Linked DNA regions of Saccharomyces cerevisiae S288C. Each later gene encodes a partner of the first gene's protein in a complex. Links are inferred from orthologs where the notes say so. Each region holds a gene or a part of one and is shown in the gene's direction. Other genes may lie near its edges. The genes, in order: BRE1 and RAD6.

What was found.
Region 2: the proteins of BRE1 (region 1) and RAD6 are in contact, whole or in part, in a crystal structure (PDB 7W75), measured with the Kluyveromyces lactis proteins. The link is inferred for Saccharomyces cerevisiae S288C from one-to-one orthologs. Residues at the interface, in XP_451665.1 of Kluyveromyces lactis: Ser17, Glu18, Pro19, Leu20, Thr21, Gln22, Val25, Ile26, Phe28, Gln29, Ala32, Leu33, Arg35, Cys36; in XP_452450.1 of Kluyveromyces lactis: Met16, Lys17, Glu18, Ser20, Met39, Ile41, Asp50, Thr52, Ser148, Trp149, Asp152, Met153, Glu154, Met156, Ala157.

Annotation. Positions count from the first base shown.
Region 1 is NC_001136.10:323,323-328,081, reverse strand, and holds BRE1 (E3 ubiquitin-protein ligase BRE1), read left to right. Parts: upstream 1-1,932; coding exon 1,933-4,035; downstream 4,036-4,759. Other genes in the region: AHK1 (Ahk1p), read right to left, coding at 1-1,469. UniProt on the Saccharomyces cerevisiae protein: E3 ubiquitin-protein ligase that mediates monoubiquitination of histone H2B to form H2BK123ub1 in association with the E2 enzyme RAD6/UBC2.
Region 2 is NC_001139.9:391,770-395,076, forward strand, and holds RAD6 (E2 ubiquitin-conjugating protein RAD6), read left to right. Parts: upstream 1-2,216; coding exon 2,217-2,735; downstream 2,736-3,307. Other genes in the region: YBP2 (Ybp2p), read left to right, coding at 1-221; protein kinase PKP2, read left to right, coding at 454-1,929; GEP7 (Gep7p), read right to left, coding at 3,197-3,307. UniProt on the Saccharomyces cerevisiae protein: E2 ubiquitin-conjugating enzyme that accepts ubiquitin from the ubiquitin-activating enzyme E1 and transfers it to a E3 ubiquitin-protein ligase.

The DNA of each region.
Region 1 (4,759 bases):
AAAGAAACAGTCTGGCAGTTAACATTTTTGGTCCTTAACATACTCAAAAGCCCATTGTACCACGACCTCCATTGAATGAATTTCAGAGAAGGTAAACTTTCAAACTGGAAAATAATAAACTGGAGAACCTTATTGTAAATGACGTTCGCTGCAATATAATCGTACGCTGAAATAGTGGAGACATAGTCTATCAATAGAGACTCATGTAAGGAAAGCATATTTTCCAGGTATTCCGGATGATTTTCTTTAAGAATGCATCCTGAAAGGCTTCTAAGACATTCCCATAATTTGATTGTCTTAAAATTAGAAAATACGTAATCATTAATCCTTTCAGATGTAATTAAAGCATTGCTACTATTCAAACTCTTGAAATTTGGATGTGACTCTGTCACATTCTCATTTGCTATCCTTGGATTCGGCGTTTGTTTAATAATCCGCGTGAATTTATTCAAATCTGAATTCAAGAATCTAGTGGTTACATGCGTCAATAAAATTTCTGAGCCAGGTATGCATGACAATGTCGATTTTTTAATTCCTACATCTGAATCAGAGAATTTCATAAATTGAAGTATGATATACCAATAGTGCCAATAAAATGACATAAGTACAAAATCATTTTTAATATAAGAAACAATGATCTTAAAAAATTTAGTATCTTTATTTTCAAAAGCTTCAGTGCGGATCATTTGTCCCTGATCGTCGGTGAATTTATATTGTCTCTTCTTCCATGAAAACAAAGATGTTTGAATACTTGAAGAGATTTGAGGAGAAACTGTCAATAACAAAATTGTATCGAAATGAAAGTCTTCTGGTAGATAAAAAAATGCGTAAGCATTTAACTTCCCGATGAATGCTCGCAGCAAGGAAGAATATTTGTTAAGGTATTGCAGCTTCTTGTCGTTTATAGAGCACTTGTCATCACTATTTGTACGTTTAAGTTTTTTGGAGTTTTTAGAAATCAAAATCAACTTGTTTGTTATGCAATGAATGGTCAGCAAAAGATGATGTGAGTATATTTCCATGTCTCTGGATGAATGGAAAGGCAATATTATTAGTATGGTCATAATTTTGCTGAGGCACTCGAGACACACGGAAGTTAGTTCTATGCTCAAGCTCAATTCAAGGGCAGTATCTATTTGAAGCGAGGTGTCAGAATTTAGAAAGTTTAAAAGTGTGACCCACCATTGGGTCAAAACATCTCTAACCTCCAGTGTACAGTTGCTTCGTGAAGAATCACACCATTGTCTTAGAACCGTTAGTAGTTTCAAGCGTAAAAAATTTGAGGAGGATTTGCAAAATTTTGTATTTTGTTCTTTATTACTAGCTGACTGATTAGCATTGTTTATGAAATTGATAAACCTGTTCAACGATTGAAATAATTGAGTTTCATAATTGTCCATCAAGAAGCCATCTTGAGACGTAGTCTTTAATCCACATTCATATAGTTGATTATGTATGGCAGGACCCATGCTTAATGAGCAATATGATCTTTAGTGCTACAACAATGCGTATATAGCATACGAAGCACAATCGAGTTCAGAATTGTTTCTCTACCCACGAAAGATAATATTGGGAAAATCACTGGTGAAATTCTGAGATCGTTAATTTCAGTGGATTCAAAAAGAAAGAGCAGATCGACAATAGGCACTAAGGATGTCTTCTAACTTTGAAATGAAGCACCAACTGATCGTACTTTGATCAAACCATCGTTATTATATAAAAGTGACAAAAGCATTTGATCACGTGATTATAATCACATCCAACGAAACTTTCTTAAAGAAGGCGAAAAAACAAAAAAGAAGAAGATTAAAAAAAGTTGGATGGATGTTGTTTGAACGGTAAACTAACAGAGAGCGCCCCAAGGTTTTTAACAGAGATAGAAAGGGCTTTCACCGTTTTTATGCTAATCGTGCTAGCTGATAATAATCAGATATGACGGCCGAGCCTGCTACTAAGAAGATCAAGCTAGAATTAAGCGATCCTAGTGAACCGCTTACTCAATCTGATGTGATAGCGTTTCAAAAAGAAGCTTTGTTTAGATGTATAAATCGTCGAAGAGTCGACTTTGAAGCCTTGCGAAAGCAATATGAACTTTCAAGAAGGGAGTGCATAGATGTTTCCCGCAAGTTGGCAAATATTATGGCGCTGATAGTAACTTTAGCTAGGTTTATCGAAACATTCTGCACAGACGCCAACGAGAAGCAACTATGTAGGGAAATAGCCCAAGGCGATGAGACGTTGATAGTTCAGCGCAGTGATTCTTTCATGAAGCTACTGACTAAATATGGGAAGCCAAACACGACAGATAGTAATACTAATAGTAATGCTTCGGATCATATTCAAGAATTAACAACGGAGTTAAAAAACTTGCGGAAAAGTAAAGAGGAGCTCTTTTATGAAAATTCGCAATTGACAGAGGAGATTTCTGCTTTGAAGGAATATTATACAAATATAATTCGCAAGTATGATAGAGATGAATCCTTTACTATAAAACGTGTTTTTAAGGAAGATAAGACTGATGCTGTAAAGGAATTACGGGAAGATGAAAAAGAATCTAATGAAAACAATATAAAATCTGGAAATAAAGACTCCTCTGCAATTAATGGTGATAATACATCCAAAAAATCCGAGAAAGGTGATGAACTTGTGCAGGCGGAGGATGAACGAAAAGAAGATGCTGAGAATGAAAAATTAGAATTGGATCTGAAATTTTCTGATTTACGGGCAGAGATAAACTCCTTGAGTTCCACTATAAAAGACCTTGAAAATATCAGAAGGGAAAACGAGGAAGAGCTCATCAAAACACGTTCTGAGGTATCCAATTTAAAAAAGCAACAGATAGCAGCAGCAGACCAAGACCCAGATTTCAAGTCATATGACCATGAGTCCCTGTTAGCAAAAATTCAACATTTGACTGAACAAAACGCAGAATTATCTGAGATCAATAGTTCCTTTTTATCAAAATTTCAAGTTTTAGCCAAAGAGAAAGAAATATATACGAAGAAGGTCCGAGAAGAATTCCAGAAAAGTCTCGACTCCCTAGTAGAAATGAACAGTTCATTGGAAAAGGACGTTGTAAGAATAAGAACGGCTCGTGATGATTTACTAAGCAAAATCGCCATTTTGGAAGCTGAAAAATCCAAGACTGAAGTGTTGAGCGATTTACAACATGCAATTGATATTTTGAAGGAGCAATGGACAAAAATTGATCAAAGATCAAACGATACAAAATCCTCGTCGACTCAAGATGCATTAATAAAGGAAATTCAAGACTTAGAGAAGGGTTTTAGAGAGTTATCCGACTTAACTCATAAAAAGTACTCTGAGATTATTAATCACGAATCTGTTATATCCAAGCTTACCGTAGAAAAAACTAAGGCTGATCAGAAATATTTTGCCGCGATGAGGTCCAAAGATTCAATTTTAATTGAAATCAAAACTCTTTCTAAAAGCCTCAGTAAATCAAATGAGCTTATTCTACAGTTAAAGGACTCTGATAGATTGCTACAGCAAAAAATAGGAAATTTACATAAACAACTGGATCTTTCTCAAAATAATGAACGCAGGTTAATTGATTCCAGTAAAACAGAGACACTAAAAATAATTGATTTAAATAATACATCCACTAAACTGAAAAGGTCATTAGAAAAGCTACAAGAAGAAAGTAACAAAAGCATTGCAGATATGACGCATCTAGAAACTAAATTAAATGATACAGAAATAGAATTGAAGCACTTCAAGCAGAAGGCATCTCATCTAGAATCCAAGTGTGAAAAACTACATGATACATTGTTCCGTGGTAACAACAAAAATAAGGGCTCGAGCGATGAAGCACTCGTAGAAGAACTAGCAAATTTCCGTACACTTGTTTATTGTTCCCTGTGTTCTAAAAATTGGAAAAACATGGCTATTAAAACCTGTGGCCATGTCTTTTGTGAGAATTGCTGTAAGGAACGATTGGCAGCGAGAATGAGAAAATGCCCTACATGCAACAAAGCATTCAGTTCCAATGATTTATTGACAGTGCACTTGTAATACTAATTATTCTACCACTTTTCCACTGTTTGTGTTATATCCTCCACATACATATACATATAATATATGTAAATCTAGTTTTGTCATTGCTTTTATTTTATTTGCGTACATCCTAGCCTAACTTCTGAATCAAAGAGTGACGTCTACTGTCGCATGTTTCCAAAGAAAAACTCTAATTGTACATATCATGCTGATAATTCCTACAAGCCCTAAAGATTCATATAATACTTTGGGCGGCCGGGTGAGAGAACGCCCGCGACCTGAAAAATTTTCTGTGATTTTTTATTATGACCTTAATCGCGCTTGTTCAAGATATATTTTCATCACAAATGTCCATACATATATATATATATATATATATATATATATCAACATTTGTAACATAACTCTTCTACTGCAGTCCTTGGGGGGAACAAGGATAATAGCAGAATCATATCAACTGGAAAGGACAAGAATAGATTTATAAACGGGTGATAAGATTAATGGTATAGTGAGTTCACTCTGCCGATAGTTCTTGTCATTTCTTTAGCTTCTTGCTGCTCTATGTTTTGCTGAAAGCGAATGAATTATGGACTTTTAATGATGAAGATTTTAATTTTCCGTTGGTCTATTAAGAACAGAAGTACTTCAAAACTACTTTTTAAGACCATCCTTTTACAGTATTTTTTCAATATTGTAAAACTTCTCATTTACTTTGTGTCTTTATGATCTCATCGTTCTGGTG
Region 2 (3,307 bases), on another chromosome or scaffold:
CCAAGCAAAAGAAAAGAACGCAAGGTGATTTACTCTTGGTACTAACATATATGAAATTTTTTGTTAGTTTAAGGAACAAATGGGATTTGGGTCTGTTAACACTCATCAATAAAGAAATCTCCGAATCATTTCAAGGAGAAGGTGAGCCTGAATTAGCATTCATCAACATTTCCAATAATACTCTGGGAGAATATATAGAAGAGATGAACATACGCTCGTAAACTACATAGTAAATTAGTTGCTCTTCTCTTTTGTTCCCGAGTAAATCGAATTATTCTATTAAAGGGAAACACTATGTTTTGAGTCATCCAAACTTTCATTTTTTTCAGATTTCATCGCCCGATCGTCAAGGAATAAAAAGGGAAGGGATGGGATACTTGCATTGGAACCCAGAAAGTACGTAAAAGATGAAGATCGTGAGAGATTGGTCAATGGATAAATAGTTCTGTAATTATGTCTAAGTATCAAATTAATTGCATAAGATACCGGCACTTTCTCAGGACATCTAATATCTCGCAGATCCCTGATTTCACGAAATACTGCATTGGTCCCGTAAATGAAGAATTGGCACCTTACATCATGGAAACCATGAAGGCATACCCTTCAAATTCCGAATATATCAATCCGCAGCATTACTATCATAATAGAACGGTATTAGTAGAAAATTACTTAAAACGAAGTCCAAATCCAGTATCATTAACGCAGTTAGCGCAATATTATGACGATTCTACCAAGCTGACCAGAACCAAGATCATCAATTCCGGGAAATTTGTAAAAGAAGAACTGGTAATTAGGATCGCGCATAAATTAAATCAATTGCAACAACTTCCATTTAATGTTGTGAACAACTTCCATTTTGTTCAAGTTTATGAGTCATATTACAATATTTTTGAAAGCTTTAGAAAATATCCGACTATAAGAACTTTAGAGGACGCTTCTCAATTTGCAGATTTTATCAAAAATATGCTAGAAGGCTTCAATACTCTAAACTTACCACATTTGATAATGGGGGCTTTAGAATGTACAATTTTGGATCTTTATCCTCGTGAAAAAATGGACCAACTACTATCTGATCTGTTAAGAGCTCGAATATCAAGAAGATTGATTGTAGAGGAACACGTCAGTATCACAGCCAACTACACTAGTGGTAAGGAGGAAAATACCTTGGTATTGGGTGATATTTTTCAAGAATGTAGCGCTAAAAAATATTTATTGGAAGCCAGTGAGGAATCTCAAAAATTTATCCAAGATATGTACTTTAAAGACATTCCCATGCCAGAATTTATTATCGAAGGTGACACTCAACTAAGCTTTTACTTTTTGCCTACACATTTGAAGTATTTGTTAGGGGAGATCCTTCGAAATACTTACGAAGCAACCATGAAACACTATATTCGTAAGGGATTAGAAAAGCCGGAACCAATCATAGTAACTGTAGTAAGTAACGATGAATCCTATTTGTTTAGAATTTCAGATAAAGCTGGGGGCGTCCTCCATGATGATGAAAATCTATGGTCATTCGGTAAATCGAAAGAAAGGGCTCAAGAATCCCTAAATAATTTTCACAAGTTACCTGGTTTACAAACAGTATCTATTTATGACGAAGTACATTCCCATACTAAATATAACTCCAAACTGAAGTCATTGCAGTCAATAACATTAAAACCGTACATGCACACGTCGCTAGAACCAATGAGTTATCCTAGCATCATAAATGGGCACATCAAATATGAAACTCCCCTAATTGAATTGTTAAAGCGGTCTTTTAGATACAAGCTTGGGATTGGGTTAGCCATGTGTAAAGTGTATGCTGAATATTGGAACGGCGACCTTTCATTGCATTCAATGCCTGGATATGGTACCGATGTTGTATTAAAATTAGGCAACTTGATGAAGCATACGAAGAAACTACAATTAGATAAAGTGTGAGCTAACCATGCTTACACTATATACCAAGGAACAAATACATATTCGGAATATTAGTATGGTGACTACATTTCCCGGATTAGTGTATGTATATACAAAAAGGCACCTCCGGGTAGCCGGAGTAGAAAGCTGGAAAAATAAAAATGAAAGCGAATGGAATGTGTAAGAGAAAAAAAGGAAAGAACTATCAAGTTGCAGAGTTGATGACATAAATAGTAGAGTGGAAAATCAACGAAGATCGAATTCCAAAGATTATTTTTAGGCAGACAGAGACTAAAAGATAAAGCGTCATGTCCACACCAGCTAGAAGAAGGTTGATGAGAGATTTTAAACGTATGAAGGAAGATGCCCCACCGGGTGTATCTGCTTCACCATTACCTGATAACGTCATGGTATGGAACGCCATGATTATCGGGCCAGCCGATACTCCATATGAAGACGGAACTTTTAGGTTATTGTTGGAGTTTGATGAAGAATATCCCAATAAGCCACCGCATGTCAAATTTTTGAGTGAAATGTTTCATCCCAATGTCTATGCAAATGGTGAAATTTGTTTGGATATTTTGCAGAACAGATGGACTCCAACATATGATGTCGCATCCATATTGACATCCATTCAAAGTTTATTCAACGATCCAAATCCAGCTTCGCCAGCAAACGTTGAAGCTGCAACATTATTCAAAGATCATAAATCACAGTACGTCAAAAGAGTTAAGGAGACGGTAGAGAAATCTTGGGAGGATGATATGGACGATATGGACGATGATGATGATGATGATGACGACGACGACGACGACGAAGCAGACTGAGAAAAATCAAAAGAATCTTAATGATGAATGCCGAGCCGATATTATGAATTCGATTACCTTTTTGTTCAATCAAATATAGGGCTTCATCGTGAGTTTCTTTCTCTATCGATCCGTTTGCTTTCTATTCCTCCATCTTCTACTTTATACCGTAAAGAAAATTTAATAATGATAGAAACATTGCATATAAATAATATACTAAAAAGAAACACTGCTCTACCATAAATTTCTTTGGAGAAAATAACGTGAAATGAGAAATAAGGACAATTTGTTATCGGTTATAACTGCCGATACCCGTATCTTTTGTGTTTGATTCAAGGAATACTTATTTAGAGTAGAAAGAATATATTTACTTAGATAACTTAATGTATAATATATAAAAAAAATCAAAAAAACAGGAAAAAAAAAAATCATGAGTGAGTGGCACTTTTAACTGCAAGAATGAAGAGTGACCCCATTTTTTTTTATTCTGATATTACAGTACTCTTCTGTGCGGGCAGCTCCTTCGTTTTTTGTTTTGCACTTTCATCCAACCACACATATATGGAAACAAAAACGACGAATGAAATTATAGC